Linked DNA regions of Caenorhabditis elegans. The main gene of each other region encodes a partner of the protein of the gene in region 2 in a complex. Each region holds a gene or a part of one and is shown on either strand. Other genes may lie near its edges.

Evidence for each region. The genes of interacting proteins can lie anywhere in the genome.
Region 1: mdt-31 (region 2) and sop-3 share a complex: the UniProt entries of both Caenorhabditis elegans proteins name them as parts of the mediator complex.
Region 3: mdt-31 (region 2) and mdt-21 share a complex: the UniProt entries of both Caenorhabditis elegans proteins name them as parts of the mediator complex.

What each region holds. Positions count from the first base shown.
Region 1 is NC_003279.8:2,773,102-2,777,883, forward strand, and holds the start of sop-3 (Mediator of RNA polymerase II transcription subunit 1.1), read right to left. Parts: upstream 3,001-4,782; 5' UTR 2,982-3,000; coding exon 2,844-2,981; intron 2,794-2,843; coding exon 2,660-2,793; intron 2,601-2,659; coding exon 2,513-2,600; intron 2,466-2,512; coding exon 2,323-2,465; intron 2,321-2,322; exon of another isoform or gene 2,284-2,320; coding exon of another isoform or gene 2,146-2,283; intron 2,094-2,145; coding exon of another isoform or gene 1,812-2,093; exon of another isoform or gene 1,811-1,811; intron 1-1,810. Other genes in the region: Y71F9B.1 (uncharacterized protein), read left to right, coding at 1,812-2,093, 2,146-2,283; Y71F9B.13 (NADH dehydrogenase [ubiquinone] 1 beta subcomplex subunit 7), read right to left, coding at 3,332-3,448, 3,886-3,997, 4,047-4,348. UniProt on the Caenorhabditis elegans protein: Component of the Mediator complex, a coactivator involved in the regulated transcription of nearly all RNA polymerase II-dependent genes.
Region 2 is NC_003279.8:8,964,313-8,967,665, reverse strand, and holds mdt-31 (Mediator of RNA polymerase II transcription subunit 31), read right to left. Parts: upstream 1,553-3,353; 5' UTR 1,537-1,552; coding exon 1,509-1,536; intron 1,370-1,508; coding exon 1,268-1,369; intron 1,161-1,267; coding exon 996-1,160; intron 946-995; coding exon 704-945; 3' UTR 665-703; downstream 1-664. Other genes in the region: spd-2 (Spindle-defective protein 2), read left to right, coding at 1-193, 241-571; snpc-4 (snRNA-activating protein complex subunit 4 homolog), read right to left, coding at 1,743-1,865, 1,920-2,057, 2,106-2,315, 2,364-2,684, 2,742-2,966, 3,011-3,080, 3,136-3,290. UniProt on the Caenorhabditis elegans protein: Component of the Mediator complex, a coactivator involved in the regulated transcription of nearly all RNA polymerase II-dependent genes.
Region 3 is NC_003281.10:11,776,107-11,780,628, reverse strand, and holds mdt-21 (Mediator of RNA polymerase II transcription subunit 21), read right to left. Parts: upstream 3,009-4,522; 5' UTR 2,986-3,008; coding exon 2,797-2,985; intron 1,764-2,796; coding exon 1,560-1,763; 3' UTR 501-1,559; downstream 1-500. Other genes in the region: C24H11.5 (Gem-associated protein 7), read right to left, coding at 22-121, 311-394; immp-1 (Peptidase S26 domain-containing protein), read right to left, coding at 4,044-4,274. UniProt on the Caenorhabditis elegans protein: Component of the Mediator complex, a coactivator involved in the regulated transcription of nearly all RNA polymerase II-dependent genes.

The sequences.
Region 1 (4,782 bases), 6.2 Mb from region 2:
CGGCCATTTATCTTGCTTTGTTTTTCGCTTGTTTTCTTTTGTTTTTCACAGCTTTTTCCCGTTTTTTCTTATTAAAACTGATAAATAAATACTTTTTGCAGATGCTAAAACAATTTCCAACTGAAAAAATTATGTATTCAGTGGGCAAGCAGCTGTGAAAGTGGGCATTGTAATATGATGGATTACGGGAATACAAAACCTAAACTTTTTCTGAAACATGATACATATGCTGCTTAAATGCTGAGACTACCTGATTTTCATAACGAGACCGCTGAAAAAGTTTTGAGGTTTTCAAAATTCAACTTTTTGTGCGAAAATCTCGACTTTTTCACCAAAAAAGTTGAATTTTGGAAACCTCAAAACTTTTTCAGCGGTCTCGTTATGAAAATCAGGTAGTCTCAGCATTTAAGCAGCATATGTATCATGTTTCAGAAAAAGTCTAGGTTTTGTATTCCCGTAATCCATCATATTTGACCATTGACCACTTTCACCGCTGCTTGCCCACTGAATACACTTTTTTTTACTTGGAAATCGTTTTGGCATCTGCAAAAAATATTTATTTATCAGTTTTAATAAGAAAAAACGGGAAAAGGCTGTGAAAAACAAAAGAAAACAAGCGGAAAACAAAGCAAGATAAATTGCCGCTGAAACTTGTCGGCCCCTCGGCCATGGCCTAGAAACCAATTTTCCTCGTCTCTCGTGAGGAAAAAGTTGCAGTGAAATTCTAGATTCTAGCAAAAATCAGCAATTTTTCCCTGAAATTTCAAAGTTCCCGCGCATTTTGAGTCTAATAAAACAGTTTTATCGTAATTATCATCATATTCCCCTTGTTTGACCTTCATCTCTCTTATCAAAAACTACAACATACATATCTTCGTCCGTCTGCGTCTCTCACAACTAGTTATTGCAACAAAAAAAAAAACATTCAGAAGTGGTCATACTTTCATCCATAAATTCGTTTTCTTTTTCTGAAAACCACCTTCAAAATACAGAAAATCTCGTTTTTATCGAAATTTTGGCTTTAAAATAGTTTGAATTTCATTGATTTTTTTATTTTCTCGTTTTTGTAGGGAAATTTTCCTGTATATTATATTTTTAAATAAGTTTCATATAAAATTTTTATAGCTGTATATAAAGGAACATCGAATAGAAAAATAGATATTTTTAACTATTTTCTATAACTTAAAGGTAGAGTAGTCGAATTTTTTAAAATTTCTTTATTAGACTCAAAATTGTCTGAAAACACCGAATTTCATAATGAAATTTCTTGAAAACTTCTCAAAAAAAAGTTATGGCCTCTCGAAAATGGCCTAAAATTAGTGAAAATTTGAAATTTGACCAACTTAAATATCTTTGTCGCAGCAGCTGGAAACAAATTTTTTTTTGAAACTGTCGTCTATTTTTGAGTAAACAAGTAGATTATCTTGCGTTTTCAGTTTTATTAAGGTATTTAAAAGTCGATGGACGAAGAGATTTTTCAAATTTTTTTAATCAATTCTCTTCGTCCATCGACTTTAAATACCATAATAAAGCTTAAAACGCAAGATAATCTACTTGTTTACTCAAAAATAGACGACAATTTCAAAAAAAAATTGTTTCCAGCCGCTGCGACAATGATAAGTTGGTCAACTTCAAATTTTCACTAATTTTAGGTCATTTTTTGAGCGTCATAATTTTTTTTGGAAAAGTTTTCAAGAAGTTTCATTATCAAATTCGGTGTTTTCAGACAATTTTGAGTCTAATAAAGAAATAAAAAACTCAACTACACCACCTTTAAATCAAAATTTCACAAAAAATGGTTTTTTTCTAGAATGTTCCTCCGCGCCACTGAATCAATTCTCGGTTTGGGCCTTCTGGCTTACGGCCTTCTCGAAATCTCGAGAAATCCGACCTGGTGGGCCTATACGCCGGTCTACTTGGTCCCGGCGATCCTCTCCATCATTCAAATTCCACGGAACGCCACGTGGCGCACTCTCTCATCCCTCTCCATCGTCGCCGGCGGTCTCTACACGAGTTTTCTGCTGTGGACGTTCTCCTCTGTGGAATCTATACCGACGATCGATTTGGAAGAAGAAGCCAAGAACCTTCCGCCGGTAATATATTATTGATTTTTATTCTTAAATGATTCAATAAAAATCGTTCCAGGTAGCCCTTGGAGCCCTGCTGATCAGCTTCATCCGTCTCACACAGGATAAGATCTCCCAGCCGGTGCATTATGTCAGATCTTCGATTATTCTCGCTGTCGCTCTCATTAGTTTTTACGCTTTTATTTCATATTTTTAGTTTTCTTTTCCTCTGAAAAATAAATATTATTAGCTTTACAATGTAATTTCCTTCGGAAGTGAGGACAAAATCGCGGTTATCGAATCGCGAAGCTTCGAGAATTCTCCATTTTTCATTAGAGCTAGAGCTCCTGGAGCATCAGTGAGCGGTTGACCGAAATAACCGATTTTGCAGGTACTAATCTGAAAGATAGCTTTATTGTTTTGGTAAAATCCCGTATTCAACGCACTTGATCCTCTGCAACACCAATGTCGATTGTTACATCAGGATTTCTGATTGAAAATCCACTATTTTGAGTTGAAAACACGCAATGTTCTCTGAAAAAAAAATTATTTATAAAATTTTTAATTTAAAAAAAATTTAAAAAAGCACTCACCCTAGGCCTTCAGATAATTGTTGAACTTTTCGAGCAATAGTAGCATCATTATCAATTGGTAAATGCTCTTTCATAAAAACCAGAGAGCCAAGAACGTCGAGACGGGTTCGTGCATCGAGTGTTTGCCTTTTCTCCTGAAAATTTGATTTTTTTTTCAATGAAAAACGGTGGAGATTGCAGTTACCAGCAAATTCCTCCTGACAGATCTCGCAAAATGCTCCCATCCCAGCTTTTCTGCGCTTTGGCGGACATTTTCCATTCGCAAATCTCGATCGATCGACTCCAGGTTTAACTCATGATTTTTCCTCTCTTCAATTATCATGGTAGGTTTCGCTACCTGAAAATCGATAAATATTTAATTATTTGCTGTTTAATAATATAAAAATTGAGAAATTTTAACGAGAAACCCATTAAAAATGCAGTTTAAAATAGAAAATCGGTGCAAAAAATATTTTGTTTTGCTGCGAACGACACTCCGTTATAACGCGGCGCGTGTTGTTTAGCAGGCGGATTTTAGGCCACAGCCACTGGCATCAATTGGCGGGTGTTTGAATTTAGATAATTCGTCTCAGGGTTTAAAACCGGTTTTCTGCAGAAAAAATCGATTTTCAAGTTATATTTTATTAACAAAAATACATCATGTTTCATTAATAATCTACAAACAAAATCAATTTATTCATCATCCTCGTGGTGTCTGGTGCGGTGGCGGCGGAGAGTCTTGATATCTTGATCCCGTTGGGCCATTTGTTCAGCAGCCTGGTCACGGTCACGGCGGTATTCTTTGTAGTTCTGAAAAAGAGAAGGAAATGTGATTTTTAAAAAAAAACGTTGTTTGAGCTCAATTGAGAGGAAAGGTCTTGGCGCGAGCGTTGCAAAATTAAACGTGCGCACGGGGTTCTGGCCTTCCTCATTGAATTTTTCGCGCTCCATTGACAATCGCCTGCCGGAAAACACGTGGGAAAGTACTCCACACGGGCAAATACATTTAGTTTTACAACTAAAATCGAGCCGCGACGCGACACGCAACGCTCCGTAAATCTATGCCAGATATGGCCGAGCCTAAATGACCTAGTTCGGCAAACTCTTCCATTTCAATTTATGAGGGAAGCCAGAAATCCGTGGAAAAGATTAAAAAAAGGAGATTTTCAACTAAAAATACATGGTTTTTTTCTTTAAAAATTCGAAAAATCGATGGCCTAGTTTTTTTTGAGTCCTAGGCCACCTACCAAATACGCCTGGGGTCTCTGCCCATTGCTGGCGCGAACACAGTAGAACAAGTCGTGAAGGCAAGTTGGAAGATATGTCTGTTGAAGCCCAATGTTCACAATATTATCGGCTCTGAAAAAAAACAAGTTTTATTATTAATTTTAAAAAAATTTAAATTTACCTGTTATATGGATAATGTCCACCTTTTGCAAATTTATAATCATTCTCAAGCTGTGCCATACTTGCCGGCCGTCCGTCGAAGAATCCGAGATAAGTTGGTGGATAGTAATTCGGGTAGTACCAGTTACCGAACTGCCCGTAGTCTCTGGCGGTATTCTCATTATAGTAGATATACTTTGGCAGGACTCTCGGCGAGTTTTCGTAGGTCCTCTGGTAGAATGTGTCGGCGACCTGGCGGTTGGTGGTGTCCGCCAGTTTTCCCGGCCCGGGGCCTCCGCCGCTGAAATTGCAGTCCGCGACGAACTGAAAGTTGGGAAGGTTGCACATCATTTTTCGAGTCTCGCAGCGAATTATAACTTAGTCTTGACACGACAATTATCACGTGGTGTCAAAGTGCCCCAAATGCGGGAGAAGAGACGCAGACTTTTAAACTAATTTCGCATAGTTAAGAGTGTGCTGAGAGAAAAATTCCAGCATTTTTTGTAGATCAAACCGTCATGGGACAGCCTGACACCACGTGAATTATTGGTTAAATGGAAATGAACTGTGCGCCTTTAAAGATTACTGTAGTTTCACCGATTTCCCATAGATTTTCTCACGATTTTTCAAAGTTTAAGAGTTTTCATAATATATTTTTATCGAAAAAAAAATCGCTGGAAATTTAGCAACAAAAGTAGATTGTGTCGAGACCGGGTACCGTATTTTCGGTACAAAAATTGCAAGTTATTGCGACTAAC
Region 2 (3,353 bases):
AATCGGATAAGCGTGTTGACATTCGCATCGACTCATCTTATATTGATCTTCACGATGAAAACAATTTTCGTACATCGTCTTCGCTTTCGACAGCCTCAACAACATCCTCATTCCAGCGACGTATTCTTCCTGGAGCCAAATTCTTTGTGCATGTCGTTTGGGGTGAAGAAACCATGCGAACCAGACTTCGATTGTTAATTTGAATACAGATGAAATGGTATTACATTTGAAATTATTTAGGCTAGAAGTTCGCACAGGACAGCATCAACTAATCGATGGTCATGACTTCACATCTTTCCAATTTTCCGATGAAGAAGTTCTTCGTGCTGTTCCAGTTGGATTCCCCGCTATCAAGCCCGAGGACCGTGATCTGTTCGCTGCTTCTTATCGTAGTTTCTTCATCAATTTTTTCACTTCTACAACTGAATTCCGTGCTGCTACAAGCCGGAAGAAGAAAGAGATATGCAGCAACGACGACTCTACTCTACTCGAGACAACAGCTTTCCGTAATCAGACATTTGTCAACGACGTTACAATTGTTCCCAATACAAGATTTTCGAATAGAAAGTAAAATCTTAACCTAACTTTCCAAATATTCTCTGATTTCTGTCCAGGCTTCGAAAAAATTCACGGTTCTGTAAAATGTAGGTTTCAATTTCAATAAAGTGGTGATGAAGTTTTATTTGATTTACATTTTTTATGTTTATTTTTCTTTCTTTGAAACGGTAGAAGTTGTGGAATTCTTTTCGGCTGTGTCAGCATCCGGTTTCTTCATCGTTTCCTCATCATCTTCATCCTCTGTGTCCTTTTGTCGAATATCAGCTTCATCTTCAGATTCTTCAAGCTCTTGTCCCTCATCAGGCATCATACACAAACGATGCCGTTTCCGAAGATAAAACTGCCATTGGAGAACCACTTGATCTTCTACGAATTTCGCGCTTGGTCCTGAAAATAAGTTACTATTCTTCTGATAGATTAAATAAAATTTGAACTACCGTAAGCCATCGAATCGCGAAATTGCTGACTCTGCAGTGCTTCAAGCATGTGCAGACATTGAGGAAATTTCAAGCATCTGGCATATTGAGGATCTTTCCAATAGAGAAGATATTTGAGATAGTTGACAAAATATTCTTCTTTGAAATAACCACGTTGCGCGAGAACTGGAAAATATGAAATTTGCAGGAAAAAGAGTGCATAAAAAAACAAGAAACTTAGAATAAAAATACGTTTTTCTCTATTCTCGGCTAGTGTATGTGAATAAACTCACAATTAAGATAATTTGGATTTGCAAGAGCCTGCACGAATTCACATTCAACTTCAAATCTCGTCTTTTCACTTTCTACACTCTCCATCTGCATTGTATTGTAGCCTGAAGAAAAAAAAATGGAATTCAAGCTTCGAAAAATTACAGAAATTTACAAAATTTTGATATTATGACCTTTTTTCACCTATACGGTGAAATCCGTACTACGAAATGAGTTAAATATATTATTCCAATGGAAACATACCGTATCGATTGAAACTAAAACGACCCATGCCTATAAAACCATTTTATTAGAAAAAGAAAAACAAATTTAACAGATGGTGTTCATAAAGAGCTGAGATTGTTAATAAAACAAAAGTGAAATAATCTTAGGAGATCAACTTTTAATGGGTTCAGTTTAAAAAAGTGATGTAAAACTGCACAGGAGAGGATGACATAGAGTTGGGTAAAATAGTTATATTGTTCAATAATAGAATATTCAATCTAACTCCACTTTGAGCGAAATATTACTCTCCGTATCGATCGAGACGTGACTTGGAGTGGGTGTACCTGCAGATGAACGCGGTGGACGAGCAGGACGCGCTGCAACTGTCGCAACGGTCTGAAAAATATACTGTTTCATTGAGGACTATGAGAAAAATATAGATAATAGTACCGCAAGGATTACTAGGGGTAAAAGTTTAATTTTAGTGTCACATCTCACCTCTCCAATCTTCCTTTTCATTCTGATTTTCTTCGCAGAATTCTTGTCCAGATTAGCCAACAACTCGGTGGTATCGATTTTCATGCCGTTCTGAAAAAAAACAACGTCTAGCAGTGGAGACAACGCAAAAAACTTTACATTTAGTTCTCTAGAGATTGAAGTTGGAGTAACATAGATCTCGTCATCAGGCATCCGGCGTCGTCTTATTTGGTCACAGGTAACTTGTTGTTCTTCATCGCAGGCGCGTTCCTCTGCAAGACAGCGCACAAGCCGCTTGGTTTCATCAGACGACGATTCACGAGCAATTCCAAGACGCATTGGTTCGAGAAGAATCGAACGCATTCGAGCCTGAAAAATTATCAAAAATAAAAATAAGAATATAATATATTCACTTACATAAAAATTCGCATACTCTTTACTATTGGTGACCTCATCAGACAACCCGATATGCATACGTCTGTCTCCGTCGAGGCCCTCTCTCTCGTCGTTTTTGAAGTTGAATTGTTGAGCCAGAGAGACATCAAGAGGGTAAAAGTGTTCAGCAGAAAGACGATTCAATCCAGAACGGGCTTTTTGAAGCATTTTGTGAAGATCGAATGATGCAGCAGTCGGAGGAAGAGTTGACTTGGCTGGGCAATGTACATCATTTTGATTGCATGACTTTGAGTTAACATGTAAATACCATTCAGCGACTTCTTTTGACTTGTTTATGACCATCTGTGAGAATTTTAATGTGAATTTTCATTAAACTTTATTTTCTCTATTCTGACTCACATTCTCCACAAATCTTTTAGCGTATTTCGGCGCTGTGAAGCGATGTTCATTCCAAAACTTAGTGCCCCATTCTTTTACGTCGTGAGCACGAATTACAGAGCACAACGACTCCACAATGACCATTTGCTTTTCATCTTCAGCATCATTTGGATCAAATGTTGGCATTGTTTCTGGATCCAAATCGATCTTAATCGGACGAACACGACATCCGATTTGATCCACGTTCTGAACATTTTTCAATGGGTTAATATTCTGTACAATTAATTTACCTTTCTAAACTGTCGAGCCTCGTAGTAACGCGTCAAAGTCTTGCTTCTTTCTATCATGTAACGAACATCACTGAAAAACAAAATGTAATTAAAATATGGTGTTTTTTTTTTGGTTTTCAACTAACACTTCCGTGATTGTGAGCGATGAGAGAATTTCACTGGAGTGTAGTTCTTTGTCGATTTCGGCTGCATTTTTGTGCTTTTGAACAATTTCGTTGATTTTATCTTGGATTTTTTGATAATCCGGCTTATTCTTCAGAGCTCGAATTCTAGCGGCGGCCTGCAATAATAATAATAATAATAGTAATAATAAAAATATGAGTTTTAAAAAATTTATTTTTGA
Region 3 (4,522 bases), on a different chromosome or scaffold from region 2:
CCTAGGCCACGGCCACCGTACCGACGATCACGTGCTCCGAAGACGGTTGAAATGCTTTAATTGTGGCGGTGACCGTAGTTCGTTCGCACATTTCGATGGTGGCTGGCTTGTCGGCGGATTTCTGGAATTTTTCGAGAATTTTCGGGGAAAAATGGCACAAAAATTGGGATTTTTGGAAAATTTTCAGTTTTTAGACTTGAAAAATGAGAAAATCGGTGGCTTTTTTCAAAATTTTCGCTGAATTTTTCAGATTTTCACCAAAAATATCGATTTTTTGAGAGGTTTTGTAGATGAAATGTCCAATTTTCACCTGCAAAAAGCTCAAATATCGCTCCCGGAGCACAGCTTGTCGCCTCTGTTGCTCTCCTTCTGCTTCTTGTGTGCTCTGGGCCATCTGGAAGTGGTTTTGCTAGGGTTTTAGGCTAGATTTAAGAGAATTTCAGATAAAAAACCATGGTTTTTGCCAATAGAATAGGAAAATGAGGAGTATTAAATTTAAAAAAAAAATCAAATTTTAAATTTAAAAATACCCAAATTCTGGGGGAAAAGTGTAAAAAATGGGCAAAAATACAGAAAACAGTTAAAAATTAAATAAAAAGAAAAAGAGATCACAGTTTTTCGAAATTTAAGAAATTTTGGAATTTTCAAGGGAAAAATTTGAAAAAAAATCGATTTTCTCTGGGAATTTCTAATTATTTAAAGTGGTGGAAATCGATTTTCAATGGGGAAAAATTGGCAACTTTCTAGAAAAATGGGGGAAAATTGAATTAAAAATGATTATTTTTGAGGAAAAAAATTTAAAAAAAAAAAGATAAATTACCCACAATTTTTCAAATTTAGCAAATTTTCAGTAGAAAAAAGGGTAGAAAATCAATTTTGAATGGGAAAAAATGAATGAAAATAAATTAAAATTGACATATTTTAAAGGGTTGAAAAATCGATTTTAAATGGGAAAAATCCCAATTTTAATAGAAAGTCATGAAAGTTTATATGAAATTGAAATTTTCACGGAAAATTAGGCAAAATTTTTTCTGGATTTTAAGGAATTTTCAAGAGGAAATGGACTAGAAAATTGATTTAGAATTCTCAATTTTCCGGGAAAATCGGCCCAAAATAATTTTTTGCTATGAAAATCAATTTTCTCTGGGAATTTCTAATTATTTAAAGTGGTGGAAATCGATTTTAAATGAGAAAAATCGAAAATTTCAAGAAAAATAGGGGAAAATTAATTAGAATTTAACTATTTTCAGGGGCAAAAAGGGATGAAAAATCGATTTTAAATGGAAAAAAAGTTGATTTAAAATCGAAAAATTAAGGAAAAATCACAAAAAAAAATGGAAATCGGCTGAAAACATGGAAAAAAAACATGAAAATCGATATGAAATTGAAATTTTCACAGCAAATTAGGCAATTTTTTCTGGATTTTAAAGAATTGTCAAGAGGAAATGGACTAGAAAATTGATTTTTTTTTCTCAATTTACCAGAAAATCGGCCCAAAATAATGGAAAAATGATGAAAATTACAATAAAAAATCGGCAAAAATCGGCAAAATATAATAATTATTCACTGGGTCTCGAGCTCATTTGTGTCTTTGAAATCTCGGCAAGCTTCTTCTGAACAACTCCGACGAGCCGATTGCTGTCGCCGACGAGTCCGACGAGCTCATTCACTTTTTCTCGCTGCTTTTCGTCGTTTTTTATCATTTTCTCCTCGACTTCCGCTTCCTGGTTGCCCGCTTCGATTGGGAATGAGTCGATGAGGATCTGAAAATTATTTAATTGGTTTTTTCCCGAAATTTTAAGCTGGAAATTGAATTTTTTCGATTTTTAGCCATTTTTCACCCAGAAAATCGAATTTTCAAAAGAATTTCGACCTAAAATTCGATTTTTTTGAGATTTTTTTCAAGAAAATTATTAATTTTGTTCTATTTTTCACCCGGAAAATCGAATTTTCACAATTTTTTTCAAATTTTAACCCGAAAATTGAATTTTTCGACAGAAAATTGGATTTTTTTTGCTGTTTTTTGGGTAGAAATCACGATTTTTTCGGCAAAAATGAGAATTTGCTTAAAATTTTCAATAAAAATTGGATTTTTCTGTACTTTTTTGGCTGAAAATTAATTTTACTGAAACTTTTGTGGAAAGTGGATTTTTTTTAATTTTGAGTTTTTTTAAATTTTAAATTAATTTTTTTTTTCGGCTAAAAATGTGGATTTTTGAATTTTTTTAAAGAAAAATTTCGATTTTTCTTCATTTTTCACCCGGAAAATCGAATTTTCACAATTTTTTTCAAATTTTCACCCGAAAATTGAATTTTTCTGAAATTTTTTGGCTGAATATTGTAAAATTAATTTTTTCAGCCAAATTTTCAGAAAATCCTAAGCAAAAAGCTTCAGAAAAGCAGTTTTTCTCGTTTTTCAAACTATTTTATATTCCAGGAAACAATAATTTTCAAAAATTACAAAAATCCTCATTTTCAGCCGAAAAAAATTTAATTTAAAACTAAAAAAAACTCAAAATTAAAAAAAAATCCACTTTTCACAAAAATTTCAAAAAAAAATCTAATTTTCAGTTAAAAAAAATAGAAAAATACAAATTTTAAATTTTTGTCGGGTAAAAATGAGGATTTTTTTGTAATTTTTTGAATAAAAATTAGGGTTTCCTGGAATTTTCTGGAATTTTTTGAGTTAAAACAGGCTAAAAATAGTTTGAAAAACGAGAAAAACAGCTTTTCTGAAGCTTTTTGCTTAGGATTTTCTGAAAATTTGGCCGAAAAATGCTCAATTCTATAGAAAACCTCAATATTTTTAGCGGCTTTTGCAATTCCAGCGGCAAAAATCGCGCAATTTGGCTCATCCTCAAGCTCCTGTGAAATTGCTCCAAATTCACATGGCGGAGCAGTCGCCTGGAGCACTCCAATCGCATTTGTCATTAATCCGGCCATTTCGTTAATCATATCCTGTAGTTGGGTCATTCGATCAGCCATTTTCAAGAGTTTTTGGGCTGAAAATGAGCTTGAAATGTAGTTTTTAATAAAAAATTGGAATTTTCGTATAAAAATTGGTCGAAATCCTCTGAAAATTCGAGAAAATCAGATAAAAATGCATTAAAATGGAGTGAAAATTCATTTTTTTTTTCAAATTTTTTCCATTAAAAATTGATTTTTTTGAGTTGAAAACCTAAAAATCCTTATTTTCTGCGATTTTTAAGGTATTTTTCTGATAAAAAACCGGATTTTATGCGTTTTTTGGAACTTTTTAGGAATTTACTAGTAGAAATTTGAATTTTTTGAAGATAATTGGCTAAAAAACTTTGAATATTTGAGAAAATCGGATAAAAATTATTTTTTTTCTTCAAATTTTTACCAAGAAAAATTGATTTTTTTGAGTTGAAAAACTAAAAAAAATCCTTATTTTCTGCGATTTTTAAGGTATTTTTCTAATAAAAAACCGGATTTTGTGCGTTTTTTGGTACTTTTTAGGAGGTTTTCTAGTAGACGTTTGAATTGTTTAGACGAAACTTGGCTAAAACTCTGAAAATTCGAGAAAATCGGATAAAAATGAATTAAAATGGAGTGAAAATCGATTTTTTTTTTCAACTTTTTACCATGGAAATCTAAATTTTTTGCGTTGAAAATCCATACTTTCTGATACTTTTTTGGTAGTTTTCTGATGAAAAGTTGGTCGAAAGGCTCTGAAAATCGGATAAAAATGAATAAAAAATGAGTAAAATTAATTTTTTTTTTAATTTTCAATTAAAAATTGAATTTTTTTTGCGCTGAAAACCAAAAATTCTAGTTTTCTAGCGACTTTTTAGAGAGTTTTCTGATGAAAAATTGGATTTTTGGCTTCAAATTGATAGTTTTCATGGAATTTTTGCTGTAAAAGTGTTTTTTTCAGGTAAAAATAGGGTTAAAACCCATTAAAAAAATAGAAAATGGAAGTAGAAAAACATGGAAAAATAGTATTTTATGGCAAAAAAAAAAGTGAGACAAAAACCAGGAAAAAAGGGTGGAAAAGCACATAATTACACTGAAAAAGAAGCCTATTTCTCTGCATTTCTATCACTTTTATCCCAAAACCAATGATCAGAAATCCATCCGGCTCTCTCTGGAGGCCATATTCTCAGGCTGAGCCTTATCTGAACAAGGGCTTCAGGTACCGGGCCGAAATGTCTGGAATCTGTTGAAACTGGGCCGTTGTCACCGCGAAGGAATACGTGACCAATTGGAACTCTGCCAGATGGAAGCAAATGGGAGGTTACTGGATCGCCTTCCTGAAAAAATTGAAAATTTTATGGGTTTTTTTTAATGAAAAATAGCATTTAAATTGGCTAAAAACATCTGAAAATTTGAAAAAATCGGAAAAAATTGAATTTTTCAAGGAAAAATTATTTTTTTTTCGACTTTTTTTGGTGGTTTTGGATGAAAAATCGGATTTTTAAACGAAAATTGGCTAAAAACATGACACTGGGTCGCCTTCCTGCAAAAATTGAAATTTTAGGGTTTTTTTCTCGGGAAAATC